4 linked regions of the Pelodiscus sinensis genome follow. The protein of the gene in region 2 purifies or fractionates together with the protein of the main gene of each other region. This does not show direct contact. Links are inferred from orthologs where the notes say so. Each region holds a gene or a part of one and is shown on either strand. Other genes may lie near its edges.

Region 1 (7,550 bases), on a different chromosome or scaffold from region 2:
GGGAGCAAACGGCACAAGCAACCGTTTAGGACCCGCGCTCCCCCTGCAGCACGTACCGCAGCACCCAAATGGCCACTTGCTCCCCCGCGGCGGCCTAGCTGAGTGTAGCAGAAGTCAGTCGAGTGCCATGGCAGGAGGCGAAGAGCGCGACTCAGGCAAAAGAGCCGCCCAGAGGGAGCAGCCAGCATTTCAGCGTTAGAGTCACAGACATTGGGCTACTATATGATTCTTGTCATTAAATATTTTGTTTTTTCTACTGCTCTTACATAAAAAGTGATATTGCATTGTTATTCCTGAACAACTCCCTTTTGCCAAGTTTCTGTCCAGAAAGACATAGTGTCATAAAAATTCTCTGGAAATAGCCATTCTGTAATACAGAATATATTACAGAAACCCAGACATGACTAAACTATAGCATCACAAATACAATAGCATCACAAATACAATTCTGTCATAAGAACAGTTTTCACATTAAGTTCTACAACATAATATTACTTACGGCTTAGTTAAAGATATAACATTTCCTTATCCTTATTAAAAAACCCTCCCCTTATAATTTTTCCCATTCCTCGGAAGTGAAGATAACCTGTTGAATGATACCTAAATAATACAATCTCAGCCAAATGTTCACAATATATTCTTATGACTTGCCAATGTGTACCCATCCTAAGGGCCGAACCATAGGTAATGGAACTATGAAAGGATGTGGATGCATTGGAAAGGGTCCAACAGAGGGCGACCAAAATGATTAGAGGGCTGGAGAACATTACCTATGAGGAGCGACTGAGAGATTTCGGTTTGTGTAGTCTTCAGAAGAGAAAGAGTGAGGAGGAATTTAATAGCAGCCTTCAACTTCCTGAAGGGAGGATCCAAAGAGGATGGAGAAAGGCTGTTCATAGTAGTGACGGATGGCAGAACAAGGGGCAGTGGTCTCAAGTTACAGTGGGGGAGGTCTAGTTTGGAAATTAGGAAAAGCTATTTCACTAGAAGAGTGGTGAAGTGCTGGGATGGGTTACTTAGGGAGGTGGTGGAATCTCCATCCCTAGAGGTTTTTAAGTCTTGGCTTGACAAAGCCCTGGCTGGGTTGATTTAGTTGGGCAGATGGCTGGACTTAATGACCTCCTGAGGTCTCTTCCAGCTCTATGATTCTATGAATGCTGCAGCACCCCAACATACCATTTATATACAGGATTTAGAGATTGGCTCAATAGCTCTCAGTACCCTCACTATAAAAATTGTTCCAGTTGAGGGATATAGCGATTTGTCAATTATCCAATAAGCATAAGCTTATTGGATAGTCAATTAGTGATGTGATTAGTTGTTTTCCCCCCACTTGCTGCCTTTATCAGAAAAAGGCAGCAAAGGGGAGAGCAGGTGCTGGAGGGAAGCCAGCTTTAAATCTGGTTCCCCCCAGCACCAACTCCACAGAGGGCAGGAGAGGTAGAGGCACAGTTGGAAACGGGGCAAGCTGGGACTAAAGCAGTCTCGGCTCATGCAGGATCTGCTCCGATTCTCGTTCTGAAATCTACAAGAGCCCTGGCACGGCTTTTGTACATTTCAAAAGCAGAAGCCCTGCAAGGGTTCTTGTACACTTCAAAGGCTCAGGCACTGCAGGGAGCTTGGAGCAAATATGGGAGTTCCCCACTGGCCCCACACTCTCTGCAGGACTTCTGCTTTTGAAATGAAATGAAATGAAATGAAATGAAATGAAATGAAATGAAAGGCTCAGGCACCGCAGGGAGCGTGAGGCCAGTACCCCTCTGGCTCCATGCTCCCTGATGGGCTTCTACTTTTGAACTGTAGCAAGAGCCTGACAGAGCTCTTGCTATAGTTCAAAGGTGGCGGCGCACTTACTGACTAATTAAATAGTCAATGGAAATCTCATTGATTATTTGATTAGTTAATCTATATTAAACATCCCTATTCCAATTACAGTGAAACTTTTGAAATAATTTCAACCTACTGTCATCCCCAAGCTTGGATGCATATTCGTTAATTAATTCTCCTCCAACTTCCACTATCTGTTCACTGTTCCGATAGTTTTCTTCCCTCCACTTCCTCATTTTATCACGCATCTCTGAAAAACAAAATATAAGGTTATCATGCAATAATGTAATATGAAGTCTATTTCTGAACTGACTTTTAATCTAATCTCAACCATGTTCAAGAGATACACATATGCAATTTCTACTAATAACAAAGCTGCTTGGGGATAGAGCGATCCCTGGAACTTTGACCTTGTTACCTTACCGCCATTATGGAGACTACTTAAAAGCAGGGAGTGAACATGTGAGGGGGGGGGGGGGGAAAATCTACTGAATTTGTGGTTTCAGAGGCTATTAGGTGAATAATCTAAATTGTCAGATGTAAAACAGGCTCCGTGAGAATAGATTCAGCTCAGAGCATTGTCAATTCATGTCCTTTAAGATCCAGTGTTGATCAGTTTAGTATCAAACTGTTAACGTATGTAGGGCTTTAAACAAAACGAAGCCTACACAAATCTTAAAAACTGAGGTCCTCCCCAACTGGAGATGACAACAAGTTGAAGATCTTATTAAATCTTACTAAGGATTTACATTAGTATTTATTCTGAGTCATCAATTACCCTCTCTCTACCTTGGCTGCCGCTTGTCCCTCTGGCTGTCACGCTTTCTGACTCTGAGTGAGTTATAGTTGAGTGAATCTGTATAAATATACTTTGGAGGGCATTCAGATTCTCCTGCATGGAAATCTGTACTATACAAGATATTTCTCATCATCAATACTGGGAAGGAAGGAGACTCCGTGGAGGGTGGACAAAGAAAAACAGAACATGTGACATTTCATTTTGAACTTAGCTATAAAACAAAGCTTTATCATACTAACAAGAAAAACAGACCTCCTATTTTCAAACCTGTGATTGGTATCTACAACATAACTTTTTCTGTTAACTTTCCAAGTAATTTTCAGCATCCTCAGGATCTATAGCTTTCCTTTAACCAATAGGTCTTGCTATCTGTTTTTCAATTTGACCTTTCAGTTGCAATGATAAAAATCTAATCGAAACTAGTATTTTATGGTAATGTATGATTATATGAAATGATTTAATAATAATAAAAAAAAACCAACTTTCCTCAAATGCTGACTTCCAGATTGAGACAATTCACTTGTACTATTAAAATTAAATCAGACAAGAACGTTGTATAAATGTATATATTTTAGACTTTTTACTGGACATATTTTCTAGACAAAGCAATTTAACTTTATAAACATGGCATCATCCTCTGCACAGACAATTTTTAGACTAAAATTCTTATTGATGTTTTATTTATCATATGTGCAAGCCACCACCAAAACTGTTCTTTAATATAACAGCTCTATGGGAATAAATTTGATTTTGGAAGAGGTCAGCAATAATATAAAAATGCAACTGATAAATATGAGACATTTTTAAAGCAAAAATAAATAACTGCTATAAAATTCCATTCTAGGAATGTTCTGTGTGTTGCCATAATGATATGCAGCTTGAAAGGAGGCATGAGAATAAAGACTTTCTTTGTGAAACAGTAAGTGGGTCCTATATGTGAAAATTACCAAAGGAAACCACTTCATATATCAGTAAGATAGAAAGGACACCAAGGCTGTGTCCAGACTCAGGTGTTTTTTCGAAAAAAGTAGCCTTTTTTGAAAAAACTTCACCTGCGTCTAGACTGCAGCCGCGTTTTCGAAATTAAATCGAAAGAACGTGGCTTTTCTTTCGACGGCGGTAAACCTCATTTCACGAGGAAGAACGCCTTTTTCGAAAGTGCTCTTTTGAAAAAAGGTGTTCTTGAAAGCAAACAGGGCTTTTTAGAAAGAGAGCATCCAGACTCACTTGCTCTCTTTCGAAAAAGCGGCTTGCTTTTTCGAAAGTTCCGCGTGCAGTCTAAACGCTCTCTTTCGAAAGAGGCTTTTTCAAAAGTATCTTTTGAAAAAGCCTCTTTCGAAAGAGGCTTGCGGTCTAGACATAGCCCAAGCTTTCAATTTTAAAATTTCGAAAGAGCATTTACTATGGATCCAATCTTAAAAAGTTCCAGACCTGATCCTAAGGTCAACTGTAGTAGGGCATATTCACCATCACACAGCAAAGGTGAATGTAGACAGTTTTCTTGCATTTCAAAATACACAATAAAATTTGACAGTTTAAAAGTAAACACAGACCCTTTTCCATCTACCAGAAGGGATCTCATTTCTTTCATAAAACTGTACTGTGCCACATTTTGTATTATGAAAGTCAACCATAACTACTACATAGGTCAAATTAAATGCTTCTTCACAAACTAATTTGTTCTTGACACAACAATCAGTGGCAATTTAAACATTAGACAGCAAGAATGTATCACACAAATTGACTGTGTAAATATACATAAAATAAATAAGTCATCTAGTTTTCACAAATTCATTTGCTTGACAACTACTAAAGCCTCCATAACAGTATAACTTTCAAATGTAATACTGTCTAAGCTATTAACAACATTCATGTCAATCATTTATCACCAAAGTAGGCTTTTCAATGATTGGAAAAAAGCAAAACACAGAACATGCTGTATCCGTTGACCACTGAAAGTGAGAAAACAAGTACAAATAAATGTTCTAGTATAAATACAATGAAAGATATGTTAGTTAGATTATAAAGTGCTGGATTATGAACAGAAGGCAGAAAATAAATGTTGGTAACATCCTAAGCAGACTCATTTGGGGGAGGGGAGGAGTGTTAAGAAACATCAATTGTGTCAATCGGGCTACATTTTTAAGGAAAGTACATCTGTACAGTGTAACAAGGGGCTGAGCAGTAGCAGTGCTGGACTCTGGCAGTGGTTTGGGGAGGTTATATTTATGTCACTAGGTCTATAAATTGATCTAAAAGAACTGATGGGCTTGTTCATTTTAGTGTAGTTTAAAACAGCAGGTGACTCCCGGCCTGAGGTCTGCCACCAGCACCTGGCACCAGGGGGGTCCACCCTCTGCTCACAGAGGGCCATGAGTGAGAGGCTACTCCCAAGCACTGGTTAACTGGCAGCCAATAAGCACCAACTGGGAAGGATGATGCTTATCAAATTGCTGGTTACCCATTCACATCCCTAATCCAAACTTCTGACTAGCAGTCTTCACAAGAAAGAAAATCCTCATCTATAATGAAGACCCGTGCTTTATCCATTGCTCCATGTTGCCACTGTGGCCACTCAACATCTGTGGTTAGCTAAGATAATGTTCAAGAACCTTACTTTTCTCTGTGGCAATGCCACTTACAGTTATTTCATAGGGTGAATAAAATAAAACTAAACATTGTTTTATGACAATAAATAAAAGATGCTTAGAAGGAATTTCAAACAGTTTACAAAGTATAACAAAAATATCCACAATCTTTTAATGTGAATCTGGAATATTAGGGCAAAGTCAGAATATAAAGGTAAAGAGAAAGCTAAATAATTATTTTTATACAGCCGCTCCCCGAGTTGCGAACAGTGGAGTTACGATTGTTCGCATTTACGCCCAAAGTTCCCATGGAGCAGTCATAAAGGAGGCCCTCGAGTTACGAACGCGACCCGCGCTTACGAACAGCGCAGTCGCGTGTAACTCAATGGGATCAGAGTTAGGAACAGATCAAGTTATGGCCAAGTGTTTGGTCCGTAACTCGGAGAGATGCTGTAGACAATAAATTTGAATCCAATTCTTAAGATGCATGAGGGGAGTAATTTTGTCTTCCATGACTGAAGCAGAATTTTCTGATCATTATTAACCTGGTTACTATTACAACTCCAGTTTGAAAGTTGTGTGCTAGGAATCAATTTGGGACTCTTAACTTCACTACAAATGAAGTTGCCCCATTTATAAATTTGCAAGTCTTCCATATATTGTGTTTTTAATGTTAATGTTTTTAATGTTAATATATACGTTTTGGGGGGTTTTTTAAACAATTTTTCATTGTTTTAAAAAGATGTGGGCAGCATTCCTTATAAGCTATGCACTTGTGCCACCACTCAAGAAGGATTCAAATGCTGTACAGTTGATTAGCAGAGTGACCACTGTAAAGATGTTAAGTATCAAGTAATTAACTAATCGAATAGTCGATAGGGAGCCTCTGCCTTTGAAGTGTAGCAACAAAATGGAAAATGAAATTTAATGAGGATAAATGTAAAGTAATGCACATTGGAAAAAATAACCCCAACTATAAATATAATATGATGGCGGCTCATTTAGCTACAAGTAATCATGAAAGAGATCTTGGAGTCATCATGGATAGTTCTCTGAAGACATCCACGCAGTGTGCAGTGGCAGTCAAAAAAGCAAACAGGAGGTTAGGAATCATTAAAAAAGGGATAGAAAATAAGACTGAGAATATCTTATTGCCCTTATATAAATTCATGGTACGCCCACATCTTGAATACTGCATATAGATGTGGTCTCCTCATCTCAAAAAAGTTATACTGGCATTAAAAAAGGTTCAGAGAAGGGCAACTAAAATGATTAAGGGTTTGGAACGGGTCCCATATGGGAAGAGATTAAAGAGACAGGGACTTTTCAGCTTGGAAAAGAAGAGACTAAGGGGGGATATAATAGAGGTAATAAAATCATGAGTGGTGTGGAGAAGGTGAATAAGGAAAAGTTATTTACTTGTTCCCATAATATAAGAACTGGGGAGTTCCCAGCTGATCCTGGGCTCAAACTGGTGCTGCCTCTTTGAAATGCCATGAGGAGCCTGATGTCCAGCTGCCCGTAGCATTTCAAAGCAGCATTGCTGCAGAGCCCAGGGTCAGTGCCCAGCCGATCTCCAGCTGACCACGGGATCTGTGTGGTGCTGCCACTTTGAAATGCTGGGTGGAGCCTGATGCCGGGCTCACCATGGCATTTAAAGCGGCAGCGCCGCACAGAGCAGCTGAACCTGGGCTCAGTGCAGCACTGCCGCTTTGAAGTACCCTTCTGTTCTCTCCCCCTGTTGTTGTCTCTATCTGATAGAAGCAGGAAGTGGGGGAAGCTACAAGTTGATTAGTCCTTCAGATCCCTAGACCATAGCTAGATTTTTATTTCTATTTTATTTATGGTGGAGCGTATCTGCACATGCCTCAGTGCACAAAAAGAAATGTACTTCGCACATGGATGGAAAAAATCCGCACATGGATAGAAAAGATGGTTTGGGGGGGGGGGGATTTGCTAGCTTCTATTTTGATGAGACATATGTAACAAGATTCTATACAATTAATTATTGTTCACAACTGCTCAAGGGATTACTGGGCAAGCACATACTGATTTACTATTAAAATCAAGATATATTCTGAAGGATTATGGCTTCTTTCACGTGCCTTTCTGAGAGTGCAATGTCCTTCTGAAGCTGGTACCCACTGAAGAAAAAATATGCACTAAAATTCCCTAATAACAAATTCTCCCAGATGTGTTATTAATCAAGAGACGTAACTTTATTTTTAGCTGAGACTGAATTGATAATGCAATTCTGCTTGCCTGAGAATAAGAAAGAGTGGCAGAATCTTATTTACTTTGTATAACTTTGAGCCTTGACATGAAAACTAAATGTA
Region 2 (7,742 bases):
TTGCCCAAAGTCAAGCAAGTCAGACAGTAGGAGAGCAACTGATAAAACAACTTCTGGCTCCTCAAATACTAACAGTTAAGAATGCCAGCCTTTTGCACCTATTTTGTGCTAGGGATGTTACGTTTTCATTAATCAACCGAGTAGTTGATGGAATTTCCATTGGCTGCAGGCGGCCCCCAACTTGGTTCCCAGGGAAGCGTCGCAAGTCGGGGGCATCATACGTCAAACCCTCATTTACGATAGGTGCCGTGTGCCGTCGTATATGCGGGCCGAGGACGTAAGTCAGGGGTTTTCAGCCCATTCTGCACTTACAAAAATGATTGTAAGTGCGGGGGGGGGGGGGGGGGTCGGAACTCAGGCGGGCGGAAGTCGGGGGTTTCCTGTACTCGATGTGGGGGGGAGGGGGGGCTCACTATACTGCTGCACCTCTCCCTTTGAAATGTACAAGAGGTGCGGGCTCGTTCAAAGGGAGAGGCGCAGCAGTAGGGACGCCTCTGCCTCCCCTGCCCCCTGCAGAGGCAGTACTAGGGAAACTGGCTTTTCAGCCGGCTCTCCCAGCACCAGCTCCTGCTCCCCCCCACCCCCCTTGCTGCCTGATAGAGGCAGCACCGGGGGGGAGGGGGCAGAGGGGTGAGCAGTAAGCTTATGTTTAATGGGTAGGCAACTAGTCACTTACATCCCTGTTTTATGGTGGTGTGAGTGACGACACAAGGAGCAGACCAACCAAGCCTGAAGGCCAATTAATTAGTTCTCCCCATCCTCACAGAGTAGCTGATCCTAACTATCCCAAGGCAAGTTTATAGTCTCTTAGAAATATCTCAGCTTCACCAATTCCTGGTAAAGAAATGTTAATTCAGCTCCATCCCAACCATTTTCAAAACACACTTCGGAATTAGAGCGGAGTCTACGGAGTCGGATGCCTTGAACGGGACACCCTACTTTGTGAAGCTGAACGTTTCAACAGAGCGGGAAGGGCTCTGCCTCGTCGGCGCCTCACCGTTATAGAGAGCGGAGTTGACAACGCCCCCTGCGATGGCTAATCCTAAACCAAATTTGCCAATGTTCTCAAAGAGTCTGGCAGCCATTTCTCAGTCCAACTGCAGCCTGAGTCACACCTGAAAAAAATCCAGGACACGTATTAGAAAGGTCCTGCTCCCAGAGCCCAGGTCTTCCTCCCTCTCTGTAGGATGGAACAATAAATAACCCCCATCCCCAGGGACAACAGGAAGAGCGGCAGGCCCCTGCCCAGGCAGATCTCGCCTCAAGCTCCCCTTCCTCAGCCCAGCACCTCACACCAGCCTCTCCCTGCAGCTCCCCTTATCTCTAGGCCCCAGACACCCAGACCTAGCAAAGGCTCCAGACCTCACTCCGTGTCCCGCAGCAGGGCAAGGCCCTGAAAGGCTCCTCGACTCCCAGCACCTCCCTTCCAGACAGCGCCATGGCTAGGGCACCCTCTGCTTCGTCCCCCGCCTCACCAGGCCCCCGAAAATCCCCCAGCCCAGCCCTCCACCCTCCTCCAGCCCTGCGCCCCCCTCCTTATAGCCCCCCAGACGTGCTCTCCAGCCCCCAGCCTTGTTTTCTGCTACCCCAGCCCTGCTGCCTAGCCCCCCGCCCCCCAACCTAACCCCCCCTCCCCCAGCCCTGCTGCCTAGCCCCCAGCCCCCCAACCTAACCCCCCCTCCCCCAGCCCTGCTGCCTAGCCCTCCGCCCCCCAACCTAACCCCCCCTCCCCCAGCCCTGCTGCCTAGCCCCCAGCCCCCCAACCTAACCCCCCCCTCCCCCAGCCCTGCTGCCTAGCCCTCCGCCCCCCAACCTAACCCCCCCACCCCCAGCCCTGCTGCCTAGCCCCCCGCCCCCCAACCTAACCCCCCCCACCCCCAGCCCTGCTGCCTAGCCCCCGCCCCCAACCTAACCCCCCCACCCCCAGCCCTGCTGCCTAGCCCCCAGCCCCCCAACCTAACCCCCCCACCCCCAGCCCTGCTGCCTAGCCCCCCGCCCCCAACCTAACCCCCCCACCCCCAGCCCTGCTGCCTAGCCCCCAGCCCCCCCAACCTAACCCCCCCACCCCCAGCCCTGCTGCCTAGCCCCCCGCCCCCAACCTAACCCCCCCACCCCCAGCCCTGCTGCCTAGCCCCCAGCCCCCCAACCTAACCCCCCCTCCCCAGCCCTGCTGCTAGCCCCCCGCCCCAACCTAACCCCCCCCACCCCAGCCCTGCTGCCTAGCCCCCCCGCCCCCTAACCTAACCCCCCCACCCAGCCCTGCTGCCTAGCCCCCAGCCCCCTAACCTAACCCCCCCAACCCCCAGCCCTGCTGCCTAGCCCCCCGCCCCCTAACCTAACCCCCCCACCCCCAGCCCTGCTGCCTAGCCCCCCGCCCCCTAACCTAACCCCCCCACCCAGCCCTGCTGCCTAGCCCCCCGCCCCCTAACCTAACCCCCCCGCCCCCAGCCCTGCTGCTAGCCCCCCGCCCCCCAACCTAACCCCCCCGCCCCCAGCCCTGCTGCCTAGCCCCCCGCCCCCAACCTAACCCCCCCGCCCCCAGCCCTGCTGCCTAGCCCCCCGCCCCCCAACCTAACCCCCCCGCCCCCAGCCCTGCTGCCTAGCCCTCCGCCCCCAACCTAACCCCCCCGCCCCCAGCCCTGCTGCCTAGCCCCCCGCCCCAACCTAACCCCCCGCCCCCAGCCCTGCTGCCTAGCCCCCCGCCCCCCAACCTAACCCCCCCGCCCCCCAGCCCTGCCGCCTAGCCCCCCGCCCCCCAACCTAACCCCCCCGCCCCCATCCTACCTCCCAGCCCCCCCGCCTTCCTAGTCCCCACAGCCTCCTCCAGCCCCCCCTCCCCCCGGTGGGCGGGGCGACTCACGCGCTCCGGTTCTGCCTCCCCCCGAGCGGGCCCGGACTCCTCGCGCTCCTGACCTCCACATGCAGGTTCCGGCCACCGCGCCTGCGCCCCGCGCCGCAAGCGCCGCGCTCATTGGCTCCCGCCCGCGGGCGCAAAGGCCCCTGGGATGCGTAGTTTCCCGGCCGCCCCCTGCTCGCCCTGCTCGCGCGGGGCGGGACTACCACGTCCGGCAGGCAGCGCCCGCCGAGCAACGGCTCTTCCCATTGGCTGCGGCCCTGCCGCCCCCGTCGCAGGGCGTCTCGGGAGTTGTAGTCCCGCCGCCGGGGCGAGGGGAAGCCACGTGCTGGAGGCGCTGGGCTCGGGGCTCCAGACAGCCCGTGTGAGACCCGTTCCTGCCCCGCCCCCTCCTCTGCTGGGGGGTCCCCCAAAGGGCCACGCCCCACCCCTCCCCCTCCCTCTGCTGGGGGTCCCCAAAGGGCCACGCCCCACCCCCTTCCCCTCCCCCTGCTGGGGGTCCCCCAAAGGGCCACGCCCCATCCCCTCCCCCTCCCTCTGCTGGGGGGTCCCCCCAAAGGGCCACGCCCCACCCCTCCCTCTGCTGGGGGGTCCCCCAAAGGCCACGCCCCACCCTCCCTCTGCTGGGGGTCCCCCAAAGGGCCACGCCCCATCCCTCCCCCTCCCTCTGCTGGGGGGTCCCCCAAAGGACCACGCCCCACCCCTCCCTCTGCTGGGGGGTCCCCCAAAGGGCCACGCCCCACCCCTCCCCTCCCTCTGCTGGGGGTCCCCAAAGGGCCACGCCCCACCCCTCCCCCTCCCTCTGCTGGGGGTCCCCAAAGGGCCACGCCCCACCCCTCCCCCTCCCTCTGTTGGGGGGTCCTCCAAAGGGCCACGCCCCTCCCCCTCCCTCTGCTGGGGGTCCCCAGAGGGGCCATGCCCCACCCCTCCCCCTCCTCTGCTGGGGGTCCCCAAAAGGGCCACGCCCCACCCCTCCCCTCCCTCTGCTGGGGGTCCCCAAAAGGGCCATGCCCCACCCCTCCCCCTCCCCCTCCCTCTGCTGGGGTCCCCAGAAGGGCCATGCCCCATCCCCTCCCCCTCCCTCTGCGTGGGTCCCAGAGGGGCCATGCCCCACCCCTCCCCCTCCGTCTGCTGGGGGTCCCCGCCCTCCCCCTCCCTCTGCTGGGGGTCCCCAGAAGGGCTATGCCCAATCCCTCCACACTTATCTCCCAGCGGCAGGGGAATGTTCCAAAGCACCATGACCCTCGCACAACCCAGATACTCTGCTGGGATGGGGGTTCCCCAAAATGACCTTGCTCCAACCCTGCAAACTTTTCTGCAGGGCAGGGGCTCCCTAAAAGGGCCATGCTCAACTTCCTCTCAACTTCTCTGCCTAGCAAGGGGCTCCCCACAAGGACTAGGCTCCAACCCCTATAAGCTAATACAGAAAAGCCCTCCAAAGAGCCTGAGAGCTTCTTTCCTGCAGAAAGTGATGTGCTCTGCTCCCACCAGAAAGTCTTTGCAGAGCCAAGCTGCCATCCGAAAGGACCATGCTCCTGCCCTCAAACACCTGTGCAAGGTAAGGAGAAATCGTCAAGTCCAGTGCACCAATGCCCCTCCACTCCCCAGCCTTTTGCAAGGCGGGACCTGGCATTGAATAAGCAGCTTCCTCCGCACAGGGGAGGCCGGGAAGAGACAGATGGGGCTTGGCGTTTGCTGACAGTGCGCGGGAGGGTCTCCAGCTAAACCCCTTTGAAGAAGAAAGGGGGCTAGTGCAGGGGGAGGGGGCTGAAACCAGGTTCAGCTGTGTCTGCATCAACTGTGTCTCCCGGTGTGATTGATCCAGCCTCACCACAGCCCTCTGAAATAGAGATCAGTTTACCAATGTTAAGGACGGGGGACCAAGCTCAGAGGAAGGTTAAGGGACTTGCCCAGGGTTGTAAAGCGCGTCAGCGGCGGAGTGAGGAGTAGCCCCTGGAGTTTTGATTCTTGGCTCCATACAGAGCACAGTCCCCCTGTCCTTAACCACGACCCAGGCCTGCCTCTTTTGAGAGGGGTCGTGCCTGTGGGTCTGCCTGTGCTAGGTCGCTGCGGTGCTGTAACAGAGAGGCTGCCTACGTCCACATAAGGGGGTTTCCAGCTCATCCACCTCCCCAAGGGGCAGTAGTGAACTCGACACAAAAACTCTTCCATCACCCCCGGGTTCCCACCTCGGGGGCTAGCTCGACCCAGGGCGCACAATTGTTCAGAGCCCCGAGGGGCCAAGCAAAGCGGGTCTGATTTGTACTGTAGGGGGCAGGTCCGGTCCCTCGTGTTCGGGGGTACAGAGGGCAGGCGGGAACTCCAAGCAACCTCTGAAAATGTTGCTCACCAAGGATTTCCAGGGCGCGCCGCCCGGTCAGTGAAAGCAGAGGGGACGGGGTGTGCGTCAGACGGACCAAAAAACCCCTCCCCTTGTCAAACCGCCCCAGTTTACAAAGCCCCGTTTGCTCCAGGCTGCTGTCCCGGGGCCTGTGCTCCCTACCCCGAACAGCCACGGGGAGGAGCCAAACCTCAGCCCAGGGAGCGTTTCCGAGCCCGCCGCTCTCCCAGCCTGTGCCAGGAAGGACAGAAAAGACGGATCGCACCCAGCTGAGACTGGCCCCATGCCCCGAGCAGAGCCCCCCTTCCTCCCGCCATGGCAGTAACTTGTCCCAGCCACTTCCCTCTGCGTGTTCTTCCTTCAGCTACTGCCCGGGGGGCTTCGCTAGGCGGCCGTGATTTGCGAGCCTGGCGCCCGGGTCCTGACATCCATCAGGTAGCGGATAAGCCGGGGCGGGAGGGAGCAGTTAGTGGCTGGGTGCCCCCCGCCGGGGGGCCTGCCCTGATTTACAAGCTCCGAAATGCGCCCTGCTTGCAGTAGGGGTCCAGCGGGGGCTTTGTCTTACTCTTAACCTGAAACACCTGTCGGCCGCTGCGGGGGGCCTGCGGGCGTCGCGTCCCGGCTCGGCGGCGTCCCGGCTCGGCGGTCATGCTGCGCAGTCCTCCCTCCCCGCGCCCGCCTGTAGCACGGGGCTGCAGCACATCCCGGGGCGGTTTGCAGCTGCGGGAGAGCGAAGCCTCATGAGCTTTCTCCTTGCCCACATGGTTCCCCTGCTGCGCACTAGGGAAACTGAGGCGCGGGCGGGGGAGGGGTTCTGCCAGCGAGGCGGGGAAGAGCAGGGTGCGCCCAGGAAGGGCAGGGCGGAAGGCTGCCGGGCGGCGCTTCAGTTCCCATCCGAGTTTGCTGGCTGGCAGGGGAGGAATTTGCGAGAGCTGCTGCCACCGCGGGTGGGGGAAGCCGCCTCCTCTAGCCAGTCCTGGCCACAGGAGAGCTCCGAGTGCCAGGCTGCCTCCAAACCTGGCTCCAGCCGCTGTCTCTGCCCCCCACCCGAGCGGCTCTGGGACCATGGGCCTCTGGCGCCTGCCGGCTGCGTCTCGGCGCTTCCTGGCTGGCTCCCTGGTGGGAAAGGCCGCGGCCACCCGAGACCCCTGCCGGCCCCCGTCTCCTAAGCAAGGCGGGCGTGAACCCCTGGCTCCTGGGGGCGCCCTAGCACGAGCAGCCCGGGTCTGGGCCCGAGGACCCTGCGGGGGCCGGGGCTGAGCCCCACGTCCCAGCCCTGCCGGTTTGCAGTGAGGACGCAGCTCCCCCGAGGCAGAAGGCCGGTGCGGCTGCGTTGGCGAGACCCGGCTCCGGGGGCTGCCAACCTGCCTGCAAGGTGCTGCGCCCTGGGGTGGGGGGCTGCGTAGACACCCCAGCGCAGGGAGGAAAGGTGGGGTCTGTGGGGTAACTGATTGAAGGGCGGGCGGGGGGTGGAGCTGGCCCCTGCTGCAGACAAGGGCTGCCCGGGCCCGCCAGGAATAGGGGCTGCTCTGGCCCAGGCTTAGCGGGGAACCAGCCAGTCGCCACGTCCCTGCTCCGAGCCGCAGCCCAGAAGCGGGTGCATGGCAGCGCCGGGGGACCGGGGAGGGTCCCTGCCCTGCTTGGCCCGGCGCTGGCCGGGTGTGGGGCCGGGCCTGGGTTTGTGCAGCCCCAGGCTTGGCAGGGGCCCGGGACCCACAGCGCCTGCGCGGCGCGGAGAAGAGGTGACGGGCAGGGAAGCAGCCTGCAGGGAGCCGGGAAGCCAAGGCAGCTCTGGCTCACTCGCAGGCCCTTCCCCGCCGGCCTGGCGCTGAGACTGGGGGCTGAGGGGGAGAGCCTGGCTCCCGGGAGCTGGTGAATAAAAGCGTTTTGCTGCCATGTGCCTCCTGGGGGCACCGCGCCAGGGTCCCACGCTTCCCCGCCCCGAGCCCGAGGGGCCAGCGGCTCCGCCATGCCCCCTCCCCGCCCCGGCAGGCGCTGGCCTCGTGGGCTCCTTGGTGTGGGGTGAGCGGCCGGCTCCTGCTTTGTGTCCCCGAACAAAAGTGCTGCGGCAGGGGCCTGGCGCGCGGGCGTGAAACCGAGCCGAGCCCGGCCGGAGGGAGCGAGGCCCGAGGGCCCGCAGGCCGGGCTGAGCCTCGGGGCGCGGTAATTACTCGTCAGACGTGCGGGGGCTCCCCACGGAGAGCAATGCACAGAACAGGGCCCGTGGCGCGAGGCTGAGGGCGGCCCAGCACCCCGGTGCATACACAGGCCGCTGGGTGGGGTGGGGTGGGGTGTGCGCAGCTGTGTGTGTGTGTGTGTGTCCACCGTGTGTTTGTGTGTGCCTGCGTGTGTCCAGCTTGTGTTTGTGTGTGCGTGTGTCCAGCGTGTGTGCGTGTGCGTGTCCAGCGGGTGTTTGTGTGTGCCTGCGTGTCCAGCGTGCGTGCGTGTGTCCAGCATATGTGTGTGTGCGTGTGTGTGTCCAGCGTGTATGTAGGTGTGCATGTTTGTGTCTAGCATGTGTGCGTGTGTCCAGCATGTGCATGTGCT
Region 3 (7,863 bases), on a different chromosome or scaffold from region 2:
ACATTAACCTAGTTGCTGCCTACCCTGATCTCTCAAGATCCACCTGGTATTCATGTGTCCTTCCTAAAACCTCACACGGAGCGTGCGTCTCTCCCACCAACACATGCCCAAAGCCAAGAGGCATAGGTCATTCATGAGCACCACCCCGAGCAGCCGGGACCTGCAGTGCCCAGAGGGAAGCTTCGGGGAGGGGGTGATGACTAGCCTACGGGTCTAAAACCTGCATGGTCATGGGAATCACCGTACTCCAGTCCTCCCCCCGGCTGATCACAGACAGCAGCTGGAACCAGGGTCCAGGAAGGCCAACGAAGTAACCAACTCTGCTCTGATGGGAAGAGATCCAAGGCTCCGGATGGGGCTGCAGCCCCAATTTAAGCCACAGGTGGAAACAAGAATCTGATTGTGGGACTGGGCTTCACCCTGCCGCGGACCCCTGGTCTGTCTCTGGTGCCTGGCTCCTGACCTCCTAGTACCTTGACTCAACCCGATTCTTGATCCCTGCCCTCTGGTTTCTCTCTTGATTCTCATCTCCTGGCGTTCCAGCTTGGCCTTATTCCTTTTGGTAATTAGTTTACCAAAACAGAGCATCCTTCTCCCTGCCTAAGGTCTCCAGACCTGTTCTCCATCCCGGCACACGCCAGCCCGCTGGCTCACCCTACCCAGCAGAGAGGGTTCAGACAAGACAGGCCCATGCAGCCGTGGTTCCAAGCCCCAGGTCTGTCTGCGCTAGTAACATAAGCCCAGAGCTGGGACAGCTGCCTAGAGAAGTCTGAGCCAAACATGAGGAATATCTTTGCTAGGGGAAAGAAACCAAACCCACATTCAAGAGCTCAGCTTCTTTGGCTTGAGCTTCCCAGCCATCTCCCCCTCGTGAAACCCGAGAGATTCTGTCTTTGGCTCAGCTCTGGCTAGCCACCCTCCATCTCTGCAACGTGCAGAAATGTGACAGCAAGAGATAAGCCCTGGAATACCTTCAGCACAGGCCCAGGCGCAAATGGGCCTTCAGCCACACTGGAGACAGGATGTGAAGTCTCTGTTTTCTACCCAGCGTACATGGTGATCTGATCCCTTAGCTCCAGGCATGTGAGAAAGCAGGGACGAGACAGACACCGGAGCCAGGACTGGGAGCTCCTGCTGCAGCTGGGTGGGACAGAAAGCAGGAGCTTTCTTGGGCAGGGAGACTGGCGCCAGACTGACCTGGGATGGAGTCGGGATAGAGCAAACCCTGGGCGGATTCTAGTGCCGTCTATACTGGGGTTAGGTCGACTTAACAACATTGCTCAGGGCTGTGGATTTTCCCCCCAGGGATGTAGCTGGGTCAACCTAATAGTTTTGTGTAGACCAGGCTGCAGCAACTGTCGGTAAGAGCTGATCTCACCCGCCCTGGTAGGACACAAGGACTGCATCAAGACTGGCAAGTTTTTCCACAAAAGCAGCTAATTTTGCGGAAAAACTTGCCAGCTGTCTACACTGGTCGCTTGAATTTCCGCAAGAACACTGATGATCTCATGTAAGATTGTCAGTGTTCTTGCGGAAATATTATGCTGCTCCTGTTCGGGCAAAAGCCCTCTTGCGTAAATGATTTTGCACAAGAGGGCCAGTGTAGACAACACAGTATTGTTTTGCGCAAAAAAGCCCCGATGGCGAAAATGGCGATCGGGGCTTTCTTGCGCAAAACCGCGTCTAGATTGGCACGGATGCTTTTCCGCAAAAAGTGCTTTTGCGGAAAAGCATCCGTGCCAATCTAGACGCTCTTTTCCGCAAATGCTTTTAACGGAAAAACTTTTCAGTTAAAAGCATTTGCGGAAAATCATGCCAGTGTAGACGTAGCCAAGGAGTGGGGGCAGGTTCGGATGACACCTGCTTATAGCCAGGGGTTGTGGCCAGCTGAGCACAGCTCCCTCTCCTGCTTAGCAGGCATGCAAACAGCTCCTCTGGTTTCACTACTGCCGAGGGGGCCTGCCAAGCCCTTTGCAAATTCTCCGTGAGTTCCCACGCCCCGCAGCGAGGAGGGGCACTGAAATTAAATCCCAGGCCACGCGGAACGCCACCAATTCTAGATTCAGCCATGAGGCTCCCCGGCTCCTCTGGGGGTGTCGGCAGCTCCAGAGCAAAGCGGATTTGTCAGGTGGGACTAGGCTTGATTGGGTGCTTCCCCCAGAGGCAGCTGAGGCCAGCAGTCCGGGTGTGAACTCAGAGGCAGCCCAGTGGTGAGGTTAAAGGATGAACGGGCACAGCGCCCCTGCTAAGGCACAGCAGATAGGAACTCCCAGTGAAGAGCAGACTGCACCTTTTTGGGCTGGGGCTGCCACCCCGATATTGCCCAGCACAGCGGTGTCTGGATGCACGGTGGGCTTGAGTTGGGGGAAAGGCTCCCAGTGCAAGCAGGAGCCCTGGAGCATGGGCAGCCAGCCACCCTACCATACTTGGGGATGAGACTCCCTGCAGGGCCTGGTCACTGGTGCTAAATTGAGCGGCAGCCACAGAGGATGTGCAAGGAAGGAAAAAGCAGAGGCAGCTGCTTCCCCTTCAGGCTGGGTCATCTGAGGCTGCCCGTGGGATTGTCCAACCAGCAGCCCCAGCTCTTCCGGCATCCTACAGGAAAGCCAGACAGCAAAGACCATCCCATCCCCTGGCCATCTCTGCTCCTCTGGGCAGGGGAGCCAGCCCCTGTCAGCAAGACCTGGGTTAGAGGGACAGGAGGACAGCGGGTGGCTGAGGATGCTAGCTAGTGCCGTGTCTGTCCCAGCAGCACATGGGATATCAGCCCTTGGAGAGCAGAGCCCCACAAACCACAGCCCAGGCCCCATCCCTGTCCTCCCCCACATTAGGAATGTCTGTGAGGGATGAAGCCACAGCCCAGAGGGGGAGGGCAGAGGGCCTGTCTGGCACCGGTGGCTAAGGATGGGGAGTAAAGATTTCCACTGACTCACCGCAGCCTCCCCACAACACAAGCTGCACCCTCAGCACCCCACCACAGTACAGCCGGACGGCCCCGCTACAGGCTTCTACAGAGTCAGACATATGTGTCACAACCTCCCAGCACACACAGCCCCACCACAAAGGGACACACACCAGCTCAAATGACACGCACAACACCCTGCCTGCAGATGTGCACAACCCCCGTCGCGTACAGACACAACCTACACACACGGCCCTGAGTCTGTAAATATGCACAGCCCCCCTCCTCAACACAATCTACATACGCAGGCGCACACTCCCCCCCCAATTCACACACAGCCCCTCACAAAGCAGCTCCCCAAGCAGCTTCCCCCAAAATGCTAGTTCCAGCACACTTGGCCCCTTGTCTCATAACAGGAAGAGACCTGCACCCCTCAGATCTCAATGCTCGAGCTGAGCAGAAGCATATGCCGGCTGCCGGCCCTGCCACGCCACAGGGCACAGGGCAGGCGCTGTTATGCCTGGGCTAAGGGGTCTCAGGGCAAGTGCTGAGCGGCCAAGCTAAAAGGCTGCAGGGCACAGGGCAGGCATGACACTCCCAGGGGACCTAGCTAGCTAAGGACAAAGGCTGGGTGCTGGAGTCATGGGATTCTGAGCCTGAAGGTCTGCTCCAGGAGCCCCCTTGTGGCTCTCATTTTCTGCAGCAGTGAATTCCCAGCCGCTGGCTGAAGAACCCAAGTGGAGCGACTTTTTCCTTCCCCAAGGCCTTCCAGCTCTGGCTCCCAAGCATCCTCATTGACCCTCAGAAGAGCGCCACTGCGGGGGCCTGGCTGCTTCCCAGCATGGTGTGTCAGAGGCTGCCTGCGCTGTTCCCACTGGCCAAAGCAGAGTCAGAGCTGAGCTCTCCAGCAAGGCAGCAGGTCTGAGCGGGGTGTGGGCTTGTCCTGTTGCCGATCTCCCGGACATCCGCAGCTGGTGACACGGCCGGTTCCAGCCCTTTGGCCTCCCATTCAGGGCTGTCCAAGCAGCTGCCTAAGTCTCTTCCTCTCAGCTGCTTATCCTGGATTTTACCCCAAAGGCAGAGCTTTGGCTTAGTGCCCAGCGGGGTCCCAGCTCGGTCCCACTGCACTCCACAGCCCCAGCCCAGTGCCCCAGGGTGGCAGCAGCCCAGTTGCCATAATCATGGTAGATAATCTTGGCTCCACAGGGACAGACATGACGCTGAGGTGCTGCCCACCTTAGCAGACGGCCCAGTAGTCTGCCTGTTGGAGTGACAGCCCCAGGAGCAGGAGCCAGGCTCTAGCAGAATAAGACCCAGGGTTGCGTTGCCAAACCTCGCGGCCAGCTGCAGGCAGCAGGAACCGGCTGACAAGGATCCCTGGGAATCCCACCAGCCCCAGGTCCTGCTCCTCCCTCTCTGCATGCCCAGCCTTGCACTGAGCAGCCCCGGCTCTGCTGTTGCTGTTCGCCAGAGGGCCTGGCTGCTCCCTGCGCAGCCCCGTGCTGCGGGGTGTCCCAGACCCCAGCACTGCAGGCGGCTCAGGGACAGGGCTGGAAGCCAAGGGTGCATGCGGGAGGGAGGCAGGGGAACTACGTTCCGTTCCCTGGAAGTTGCACAGGCTTAGGAGGGCGGGGGGGGGGGCAATGAGAGGGGACCCAAAATCTGCCTCATTGAGCGCCCAGCTCTGGGGAGCTGCGGGTGAGGGGCTGGGCCCAGCCTGTGGCTGCCCAGGCCCTGCACTTGGGAGCCAGTCCCACGAAAGGATCCCGTGGGGCACAGAGCAGAGAGCCAGGCCAGCCCAGCTGCCCTCATCCATCATGGCACCCTGCTGCTTCGCCAGCACCGGCCGGGCAGGGAGCCTGCCCGCACTAAACATGGCGGCCTCTACGCCGCGGCGCCGGCGCGTTGCCCCCGCCTTTGCTCACACGCCTCCTTTGCCCTCACTTAATATGGCGGCTCCCCGCCAGCTTTCCCTACGGGGCTGAAGCTGCCCGGGGGCGGTGGCGGGGTACTTCCGGCCCGGCTCGCCGCGGCGCCGCTGGGAAGATGGCGGCGCTCAGGGCTCTGCGGAGGCTGCGGGCACCTTCAGGGTCATGGCTCCGGCTGGGGGCAGCGCCGAGCAGGTGAGACCCCCCCCTCCCCGGCGTTTCTCCCCCCTCCCCCTTCGGCCCCGCTCCCCATTTCCCCGCCCCCTTTTCCGTTGGAATCTCCCCCTCCCCCCCCCTTTCCCGGTATCTCCTCTCCCTCCACGCCCCCCCCCGGGCACCCTTTTCCCTGGCATCTGCCCCCACCCCCTTCTCCTGCCCCAGCGCTTCCTCTCTGGCACCCCCCAGCTCCCCCTGCCCTCCAGGCATCCGCCTCCGTCTTCTGACCCCCAGCACCGTTCCCGCCTCCCCAGGCGTCTCCCCCTAGGCTCCTGGGATCCCTCCTCTTGTCCTCCCGTCCCCCCTCCCTGCACCTCCCCCGGGTCTGCCCCTGTCCCCCAGGGATCCTGTGTCCTGCGGGGTGTCTCTTCCCAATCTCCTGGGCATTGTTCTCTCCCCCTTTCGGGTCCCCGTCTTCCGTGGGACGTTCCCCGCCCTCCCCAGATAAACCTTCCTCCACTTCTTTGGTACCTCTCCCTTGCCTCTTGAGACCACCCATTTTCTTGGGGGTCATTCTTGTGCCTCCTGAGCATTGTCATCCGCTGCGCTCCCTGGGGACCCTTCCTCCTTCCCCCAAGGTATTACCAACCCACCTGGGAGGCCTATTTTTTCCCCCCCTCTCATAGACTTTAAGGTCAGAAGGGACCATTATGATCATCTAGTCTGATCCCCTGCACAGTGCAGGCCACAGAATCTCACCCACCCCTCTTAGAATAATCCTCTCACCTATATCTCAGATATTGAAGCCTTCAAATACTTTGATGGCCCCAAGATGCAGAGAATCCTCCAGCTGTGATCTGTGCCCCATGCTACAGAGGAAGGCAAAAATCCTCCAGGGTCTCTGCCAATCTACCCTGGAGGAAAATTCCTTCCCGACCCCAAATATGGCGATCAGCTAAACCCTGAGCATGTGGGCAAGACTCACCAGCCAGACACCCAGAGATCCCAGCGCATGCCATGAGGCTGTTCCATTATTACTCTTGTGGCAGTGAGCAGGCCCCGGAAACTTACCTCCTGCAGAAACCAAATTGGCTGTAGATGTTGAGTGTAGCCCATGTGCCTGACTAGTTCCCATCACTGGGTGGCTCCGGGGGTGGGGTGGGGGGGCTGTCATACAACCCCCTGCCTTGTGGGGCCAGATGTAGGTGGTGCCCTTGTGCCAGAGTGGGCATACTGTACATTGGGCATCCCTCAGATGTCCTTGCTAATGGCCATTGATCTGGGGACTAGCTAGCTCAGACACTTTGAATGAAGCCTTGCTCTCCAAGGTTACCAGTTTGAATCCTGCCAGCATAAGTCTGGGCTTTGGTGGTTTTGGAAACTAGATGAGTGGCTGTCTTGCTCACAGTGCATGACTGTCCATTGCAAAAGTCACCACCACATGGACGCTAACGGACCCTTTGGCAGAGAGGGATTGATGGGGCTATTACACCTGAACTCCCTTCGTCCTTAGACGAGCCCCACTCGATCAGGCTTGAGGGTGGATGGTAGGGAGCCAGGTGTTGAAGCTAGTACTGCTGCTCCCCAAACTAGGGAGAAGTAGGCTCCACGGCTGCCAAACCTCATGCTTCCCATGATCAAGCTCTCCCGTACAAGGCACAGTTTCACTTTCAGTCCCCTTTGTTTCCCATCCTTCCCCACTTGCCTGGCAACAACCCCTTTAAAAGCCTACAGAGTCTGAGACTAGAGACAGGCAGATTGAATGAAGTTGTCAGTTTGACCCCCTTTCCTTCTCTCCACGTCTAGAGGCGCCAAGCAATGGCAGCCGGATGTCGAGTATGCCCAGCAGTTTGCAGGTGCAGTCATGTACCCCACCAAGGAGACAGAGAAATGGGTGGCTCCTCCCTGGAATGGTGAGTTCTGCCGGAGGCAGCTGCCCCATTAAATGCACCATTGTATTGGCGGTTTGTCACATTTTAAGTTCAGAGCCAAACTCACCATGGGGGGCTGGAAGGGGGTAGCCCCACCTCTGTGAACGTTGCTGGACTTACAGTGGAGTAGCCCACTTGGTCCTGATCCTGGTGTGACCTCTGTGTAGATGCACCCCTGCGTCTTCATGAAGCACATTGCAGAACCAGATCCCAGCGGAAAAAACAATAGTGGGAAAACATGTGGTCAGCTTGGGGAGATCTTCCTTAGTTGAAGGTGATGTGGTTTTTTTTAAAAGATTTCTTTTAATAGGCACCTCTCTTTTTATAGAAGCGATTCCTTGGTTTTTATTTTAATGTAAATGGAAACAGGGTTTTGGATTTGAAACTTCTCTTTGCTGCATTAGAATCCCAAACACAACTGCTTTGGGCATGAAACAATGATGGCAACAGGTGTGCTAGCACTAGCTATCACCTTGCGTTAGAGCGGGGTGGGGAACCTTTTTTGCATTGGGGCCAATGACCCACAGAAAAATCAGTCGGGGGCTGCACACCAGTGAGAAGCAACATGTAAAGGTCCTGAGCGAGAAGGAAAAACACACTCCTCACATTCCCCTCCCACACCAGAGCCTAGGGGCCCCAGGCTAGTAGATTTTCTGTGCACCATCCCTGTGGGTGGCAAGGGGGCTGGAGCACCATCGTGGGCTCCCCGATTCAGGGGGGATCCCTAAGTCTTGGGGGCCGGATCCAGGCAAGCTGGAGACCACATCTGGGCCTGAGGCTCCCCACTCCATGTTAAAGAGAGCTTCAGGTTAGTCTGTTTTAACACAGCCAGACACTGTGAGACGTCTCTGCTGTGCGAGACGTTTTTAAGACATTGTGGCTACGTCTACACTGGCCCCTCTTCCGGAAGGGGCATGTAAATTTCAAGAGTCGTCGTAGGGAAATC
Region 4 (7,890 bases), on a different chromosome or scaffold from region 2:
CCCATCTTGCATCTCTGGATATAGAGGTGTTTCTTTGAGAATGCCCACCCCATTATATTCTAGTTGGGAATTAGAAACCTACTTCCTTTACGCCCTGACTGCATCATCATCCGACGGCGGACAGTATCAAATGGATAGGAAGTCAAACCCGCAACAGCGGTAACCGTCTGAGCAATCATCCAGCTGATGATGATGTGGGTGTTCTTTGGGTCAGGAAGCATTCCTATGGGAGGGAAGAGAGCAGATTAAGAACACCAAATCATTGTATGTTAACACCAAAGTAAATAATTTTTCTGCATTACAATCCAGTGTTTGGCCTAAAAGTCTGTGCTGCATTTTAGGAAGTTAACTCAAAAGACCTACCCTTAGCAGTGTCATAGATGCCAAAATAGGCTGCTCTGTAGATAATGATGCCCTGCACGGACACATTGAAGCCTTGGTACAGGCCCTTAAGACCATCAGACCTGAAAATCTTGACTAGGCAGTCACCAAGACCGTTGAATTCTCTGTCTGCTCCAGCTTTACCCACATCAGCTGCCAGACGAGTACGGGCAAAGTCAAGAGGGTAGACAAAACAGAGAGATGTAGCACCAGCAGCACCACCAGAGGCCAGGTTGCCGGCAAAGTAACGCCAGAACTGGGTTCTTTTATCGACGCCACCCAGGAAGACCTGCTTGTATTTGTCTTTGAAAGCAAAGTTGAGGGCCTGAGTAGGGAAGTATCTGATCACATTAGCCAGGTTGCCACGCCAGAAGGACAGGAAACCCTGCTCTTTGGGGATACGGACAACACAGTCCATGATGCCTTTGTATTGCTTGTCTACTGTAATCTGTTTGCTTGCATGCTGCACCTGTAGAACAGAGAAACAAGCTAGATTAACATCTCACCATGCTGATAAAATTACAAGCCTGAAGATCTGGATTTATGAAGTTTTCATGATTTTTATTAGTTAGAAATGCATAATTCAAACTGCATTTGACAATTAAGCCTCTGATTCCAGGGTCTGGATAGACACACTGAAAGCCTGTTATGAAATAAAATGAGTATGGTTTTATGAAGATAAATTACTAGTAAACAAGAATGAATATAAGATTAAGTGTGGGTCACTTAAATTTGGTTAAGACTCAAGATAGAGGTTTTTTTAAACTTTGATTGTTATGACTAGGTGCGGAAGGATTACATTTACAAAGATAAGCAATGTAAGAAAAATGCCATTTGAAATCTCATTTTGAGATACAAATTGCAAAGTATCTTCAAGGAAACATCAGTGTTCATGATAAGGCTTTTACTTTCTGAATCTGACTACTGTCATTAAGTAAGTGTGTGACCTATAATTTCCTTGCAATGGTGCAAACTTAAATTGATAAAATAAAAATGCTTATGATCAATATTGTCCCTCAAAAAAAAAAATCAAAGTTTGCCAAGCCTCATCATAAAAGTGTCATTAAGCATCCTAGGCTGCCTCAGTGAGAACTGTCACTGTCCTCTAGCAGATGTCAGTGCAATAGATTCTTGGAATGGATAGAAAGGCTGAGTGCTGAATTCCAAGGTGATCACCTACTATTCCTTTGACCCAGAAACAGGAAGTGCTCTTATCTTAGGGTGGAGTGTTAATAAAGCCCTTTCTGGTTCCATTTAGTTCTGCAAGGATTTTCCGGAGCAACCCTCCTCAGAACACTCCCAGAGGTGAAAGTCAGCCGGTGACGAACTTTTTTTTTTTTTTTAAATAATTGCTTGGCAGCAAGAAGGCGCACACCTACTGGGCGACAGCCAAAAGAACGTCTTTAGAGTAGAATTACATCCCATCTTTTTTCAAAAGCAAAATATGCGTTGCCACATCGTATTTGTTCCCTATTCTCCAAGAGGCAGCAGTCTGCCTGATCAGAACTGCGCCCTGTAGAGAGCAAAGCCAAGGTAGCAGCGTGTCTTTATCTTTTGGGAGGAGTTGGGCCTGGAAGGTCACCGGGCCGCTCTATGGCTTTCCTCGGGCTAGATATTGCGTCGGCCTGCCTCTGCCTGCTGGTTTTAGCGCACGACGCATGGAAGCGGTGCCTAGCTGCGGGTCCGAGCGCCCCGCGAGATCCCGCAGCGCCGGGGGAAGTGGCTCCAGCCTGCAGGGAAGCGCCGGGGAGGAGGCTGCTGCAAACCTCGCTCCACGCCGAGCCGGGCCCGGCACCGCTTTGCGTAAGCGGAACTAGCTGGAGCCGATCGCTGCCGGCGGGTGGTTTCCGGCTCTGGCCAGGGCCCCCCGCGGGGCAGGAGCCGGGACTCCAGCTTGAGGCCGGGAAACGCGCCCGGGGCCGGGGACCCAGCCGCCCGCACAGGAGCGGGCCCAGGGGACCGTCTCCTCGGGCAGGGCCAGGCCGGGACCGGGCGGGACCAGCGGAGCCTCGCCCCAGGCACAGCCCTGCTGCCGGGGGCAGCGCCGGCAGCGGAGACCCGTCTCCCCTCCCCAGGCCGGGCGGCTGCTGCCCCGGGATGCTCGGGCCTGGCCTCTCCTTGGAGCGACCTTGGGGAGGGATCAGCGCCGCGGCATCGCCTTGGCCCGCGGATGCACCACGCGGCCGCGGCCCAGCGCCAGACAAAGCTGCAGCCAGCGGCGGGGCCGGCCTCTCCCCGCGCCCAGGGCGCTCGGAACCCCCCTCGGGGCGATCCCCGGGTGGGAGTCGCTGCACTCCCCGGCCAGCCCCGGGGCATTAGCCCTCCCCGACCCATCAGCGCTGCCCTCCTGCCCGGGGATGCCTTCCAGGGAGCGGGGCACCCCCCAGCCGGACGCCCCCCAACCCACCTGCAGCAGCAGCTTCACCCGCTCGATGGGCGCGACGGCTGTTTTGGAGATGGCTGCGGCCACCCCCCCGGCTAAGAAATCCTTGGCGAAGGACACGGCGGCGTCAGCCATGGCGAGGGGCGGCGGGAAGGTCAATAAGTTAGAACCGGGGAGCGAGAGGCTGCTGCGGAGGCCGCTGCTGATGGGGACCCGCGGGCTCTGAGGCCGGGCGGCTGCAAATGGCGGGTTTATATACCGCCCGCAGGCTGCAGCGAGCGGGGGTGAGGCTCACGGAGCCACGCACGGCAGCTTCCCACCCCGCCCATTGGCTGCGAGCAGGAGGGCTGGGCCGGGGAGGGACCGGCTGGGAGTGGGGGGGGGGGGAAGCTTGGGCGCCCCCCCACACCTGACGCTGTTGGGAGCGCCAGTGACCAGGTGGGGTCTCCATCATCCCAGGGCGAGGCTGGGCTCCGTGCCCTTGGCTGGGCGCAGGAGGAGGAGCAGGGAGCGGGCAGGGTTTGCAGGGAAGGGGGCTGCTTTGGGTTTCAGCGCGTGACGCCAAGCGGGAGTGTTCCTAGGCAACCCCCGGGAAATACAGAGCGCAGCGCATCTCCAAAGCCTCTGCCTGCCCCGACACCATTGCCATGGAAACAGGGTTGGGCGCCCCCGCCCGAACTCAGCATCAGGCCTGAGTCACTCATCACAGGCGCCCGGGGGCAGAGGAGGTGGAGGTGGGAGTCGCGGAGCCCGAGGCGCACCTGTGGTGGGGAAGGCTGCTCAGAGCCCTGGCTGCAACAGAGCTGTGGGCTAACCCAGTGCTGAACTCAAAGGCGGCTTCTGAAAGAGTCTGTCAGGGCACAGCTACTCTACTGGACAAAGTCCAATTAAGCGCCGTAACGTCAGCTACATTCACTGCATAGCTGAGGTCCAAGGAGCTTAACTGGGCTTTTGGTGCTGTCCACACAGCAGAAAGTCAAAGGAAGAGCACTCTGCCTTCAGCTTCCCTTGCTCCTCCTGTAATGAGGGTGACCAGCGTCCACAGGAGTGCCCCTCTCAGTGCAAATGAGCTGTCTTAACTGCTAATTCAAATCCTGGAAGATCGACAGCAACTTCCATCTTCCTCTGCAGTGGAGATGTACCCTCAGTGCCTGGACCAAGTCTGTCATTGCCCAGCAGTGGACTGTCACTTACTTCAACAGACAGAAAAAATCTCTGTTTGTTAAATATTTCAATAAACCTTCCTCTTCACCAGCCTACCTACTTCAATCCCACCTCAGTTTCTAGGCGGTAGGGTAGGGCCAGAGAGATATAACTTTAAATCTTAGATCCTGTGATGGTCTGCCTCCTGATTATTTTTTTCAGCCTTTTGTCCCATTTTCTTTTTCAGACCTGTACACAGGGAGTGAAGGGTGAGAAAGCACCCCCCATAGTCTTTCAAGTCAGCATGCTCTGGCTAGCCAAGAGAAAGCAGGAACAGCATGCTGCTGGATCCTCCCTCCCATGCTCTGGCTGGCAGGGGGAAGGCTAGGGCTGAATTGCCCGCTCACTTGGGGGAGCATTCACAGCCTTGTGGTTCACATTTACAAAAAAAGCCCCCCCCCCCCCCCCCGCGCACACACAGAAATTCCTGCATACAGGTCTGTTTTTGTTACATCACATTCAAGCCATAAGGCAGCCATAGTGGGTCAAACCAAAGATCCATCTAGCAGTATCCTTTCAGTGGCCCTTAAGTACAGGCCACAGGCTGCAGTGAGCAGAGGTGAGGCTCACCGAGCCACAAATGGCAGCTTCCCACCCTGCCCATTAGCTCCAAGGCTTGGCTGGCTTATACATAGTGATTGAATTCAATCTCTTAAGGTTAAGAATTCCTAAAAAAAAAGCAAGGTTAGTCTGCAGAAGAGAGAGTGTATGTGTGTGTGTGGGGGGGGGGGGCCTTGGGCAGTGGGGCCTTGGGTAGCAGGCCCTCAGTGCCACCTGAAAGGCAGTGTGCCCCTCCTCCACCCTCAATGCTACCCAGAGTGCACTGCACCATGTCCTAGCAGCAATTTAAAGGGCCCTGGGCTCCAACAGTAGTGGCAGCAAGGCCTAGGCCCTTTTGTATTGCCAGGTCCCAGGGCAATTTCCTCCTCTCCCCCATCAGCAGGCCTGAAGGTAGCAGAACCCATCAAAAACAATTGGGATGGAACAGTCCTAGGACCTAGCTAAGTCTGCCAAGTAGGTCAACACACCATTCATAAAAAGTATGAGAGACTAGTCTATCTTGGTTAACTTAGGCCACTTTTCTAGGTGCAGCCCTTAAAGTTTGATAATTTACTCTGCTTCTTGATTCATCTGTTAGAAACTGCACACCTAAAAGGTATCAAAACTATTCCCGTTCTAAGATGAAGGAGCACAGTGTGCTGGACTCAAGAATTGGGAAGCAAGAAAGGACAAATTATGTTCCCAGCCTTTCCCCTGCCTTGGTGTACAGGCTGAACCTTTCTGGATCAAATTTCAGCTCTAGTGGAAGCAGAAGCAACTGCAGTTAAAAGCATCAGCTGACACCAGGGCTGAACTGGGGCAGACACACATACCATTTGTTAAATGGAACCCTTAATACTTCACTGTTACAGGGCTGCCGTAAGACTTTGCTCACCATTGTCAAGTGTTCCAGAATAGAAGGTTGCGGTTATTCTGGCTCTCAATGGCTTTACTCCTTACATCTAAGATTGAATTCAAACACCACTTTCTACCTCTTCGTATTTCCCCAGGTGAACCAAGGTTAATTTTCTGTCAGGGAGGATAACTCAGTGCCACTGACTATAGGTGCTGGAACTAGGGGAGTGGGGCAGGAAGGTGGGGGAGAGGGAGTGCTACAGCACCCTTGGCTTGAAGTGGTTTTCAGTAGGGTTTCCAGTTTGGTTCAACAGCTCTCAGCCCCCTTACTATAAAAATTGTTCCAGCACCCCTACCTCTGACTAGCCTTTGCCTTCTAGTGCAGTGTGTGGCACTTGGGCTATGACGGCACAGGGAATCAGTGTCAGATGTGACTGAGTGTCACAATGCCACCTGGAGAAACTTTACACTTACCTGGAAGAATCACGATTCCAGCAACCATTTCTTACTGATCTGAGGGCCAGTCCCTGAATGACATTTATCTAAGCTAGGGATAAACTAGTCCACACACTGTAGCTCTCCTTACTGTTTAACATCCCCTCTTCGGAAAAGCATGACAATACATTGACTTGTAGGTCACAGCACTTAAAGGGGACCACCACAGTGACTGTAAGGAGATGGGAAGGCTAGGTATTGCATAGTACTGTTCTAATCGAACCATAAAACTTTCATCTGTGAAAATTATTTTAATATAAAATACATCTTTAAAAATATCAATGTAAGGGTGTTAACACTTAATTATCTAACCCATTTGGCATCTGCATTTTTCACACTGTAGTAGGCATAGTCAGTCATAACAAAAATGAACATAACATATACACAGTTTTGTTTTTTCCCCAAAGCTGAAATAATTCAGATAATGGCAAAAATATACATGTGTGTGTGGGGGGGGGGGATTGGGGGGGGGAATCTCAGCTTGCATTTAGGACTATTAGAACATTTCAGTGCGGTTTCATATATTACTATTCTTTCTTGGCAAAAATACCTCTGTAGTATGTTTTCATTTTTCTTTGCAACTGAGCACTGAGAAAATTATTCAGTTCTCAAATCTTACAAAAGCTGAAAACAAGAAGTACGATGACTAAGGCTAACAAAAGTGTTAACTGTCCGAGGACAAATACTGCATACCTAGAATGCCATGTCCATATTGCACTAGTGACAGATTTCAGTAAAAATACTTATATACAGTATATATTTTAGTCTATTTTAAACCATGTATCTGTTCTGAAGGCCACGTGTTCAGTGTCCTCAAATGTTACAAATGTATTTATTTTAGAATCAATCCCAATTTATGATCATGGCTCACATCACTTATTCTTTACAAGTGGTTTTAGTATTAAAAAGCTATTTATCATTGAAAATATCCCCAAATTAGTTGATTTCAAGCTCCAGAATCATAATAGTTTCAAAATGTTTGTGTCCTTCTGATGAGCTTGAATTGAGTGTATCAATTCACTACATGGGTTACAAAGTTTATTAATGTTTGACACAAGAGTTTCAAACTCCGGGAAAGTCACAGTAAACCAGGTGCTGCTACCTCTAGTGCAATGCATCTTCCTTTCTGCCTTGCTTTCTTCAGGTTGTGGACTTGGCCAAGAATGACTGCAACATACATTTACTCAATGAGCTTTCCAACGTCAGTTTTCAAGAGTTGGCTTCGGCGGCTCAAAATTTCCTCTTCGGAGGAGTTTTAATTCTCGCAGCTCTTGTGGTTGTAAACTCTGATCCACTCCAGGAATTAGCTTGTAGCTTAAGGGAGATTCGATATAACCATTTCTGTAGAGACATACCCGCTTGCAGAATTCAAAGGTGCTAAACATAACACCATAGTATGGGACAATCTTAACAAAAAAAAAATTGAAATAAGTTAATTTAGAATCAATATCCACATTCTCTAAAAGCTAGGATTTATAAGACTTCATGAACAGATTTGACCTCATTGGCAATGCGGATTCGCACAGTTGGGAATCTGACCCTATACTAGTTGTATCATTCTACAGGTACCACTATGTTGAGACTTGGTTTATTACATGTACAGGTTGAACCTGAACCTCTCTAGTCTGGCAACATCTATGGTCTGGCATGATTTCAGTTAGCCTGATGTCCACTTATCATGAGTGCAACAAAGTTTCCTGCTGTCCCATAAAGTTTGTTTATAGCCACCAATTCTGGCACTCAATGTTCTGTGCTGTTGTTTAGCTCTAATTTACCCTTAAATGTCTTCTAAGAGCCCAGTAAGCAATGGAAGTGTTGGTAATGCTACTAGACTGGGGGTGGGAACCTTTCTTGTGTCAGGGGCTGCTGACTCACAGATAAGTCAGTCGGGGGCCACACACAAAGTGAGAAGCAAAAAAAATCCTGGGGGGAGGATCCCTGAGCCTTGGAGACTGGATCCAGGTAAGCCAGGGGCCACATCTGGCCCCTGGGCCTTAGATTCCCCACCCCTGTATTAGACAATATTGACTTCC

The links.
Region 1: the proteins of PHB1 (region 2) and EMC2 purify together in Homo sapiens (affinity purification with mass spectrometry; 3 studies listed by BioGRID and IntAct, with this or other methods). This does not show direct contact. The link is inferred for Pelodiscus sinensis from reciprocal best matches to the Homo sapiens genes PHB1 and EMC2.
Region 3: the proteins of PHB1 (region 2) and NDUFS2 purify together in Homo sapiens (affinity purification with mass spectrometry; 3 studies listed by BioGRID and IntAct, with this or other methods). This does not show direct contact. The link is inferred for Pelodiscus sinensis from reciprocal best matches to the Homo sapiens genes PHB1 and NDUFS2.
Region 4: the proteins of PHB1 (region 2) and SLC25A5 purify together in Homo sapiens (affinity purification with mass spectrometry; 3 studies listed by BioGRID and IntAct, with this or other methods). This does not show direct contact. The link is inferred for Pelodiscus sinensis from reciprocal best matches to the Homo sapiens genes PHB1 and SLC25A5.

Annotation. Positions count from the first base shown.
Region 1 is NC_134712.1:29,928,598-29,936,147, forward strand, and holds the start of EMC2 (ER membrane protein complex subunit 2), read right to left. Parts: upstream 3,016-7,550; 5' UTR 2,726-3,015; coding exon 2,617-2,725; intron 2,078-2,616; coding exon 1,964-2,077; intron 1-1,963. UniProt on the Homo sapiens protein: Part of the endoplasmic reticulum membrane protein complex (EMC) that enables the energy-independent insertion into endoplasmic reticulum membranes of newly synthesized membrane proteins.
Region 2 is NC_134739.1:14,661,946-14,669,687, forward strand, and holds the start of PHB1 (prohibitin 1), read right to left. Parts: upstream 3,016-7,742; 5' UTR 2,861-3,015; intron 1,116-2,860; 5' UTR 1,086-1,115; coding exon 998-1,085; intron 1-997.
Region 3 is NC_134734.1:13,655,969-13,663,831, forward strand, and holds the start of NDUFS2 (NADH dehydrogenase [ubiquinone] iron-sulfur protein 2, mitochondrial), read left to right. Parts: upstream 1-4,863; 5' UTR 4,864-4,948; coding exon 4,949-5,025; intron 5,026-6,792; coding exon 6,793-6,899; intron 6,900-7,863. UniProt on the Homo sapiens protein: Core subunit of the mitochondrial membrane respiratory chain NADH dehydrogenase (Complex I) which catalyzes electron transfer from NADH through the respiratory chain, using ubiquinone as an electron acceptor. Essential for the catalytic activity of complex I.
Region 4 is NC_134723.1:34,222,777-34,230,666, forward strand, and holds the start of SLC25A5 (ADP/ATP translocase 2), read right to left. Parts: upstream 3,008-7,890; 5' UTR 2,900-3,007; coding exon 2,789-2,899; intron 851-2,788; coding exon 364-850; intron 224-363; coding exon 83-223; intron 1-82. Other genes in the region: SLC25A43 (solute carrier family 25 member 43), read right to left, coding at 7,060-7,263.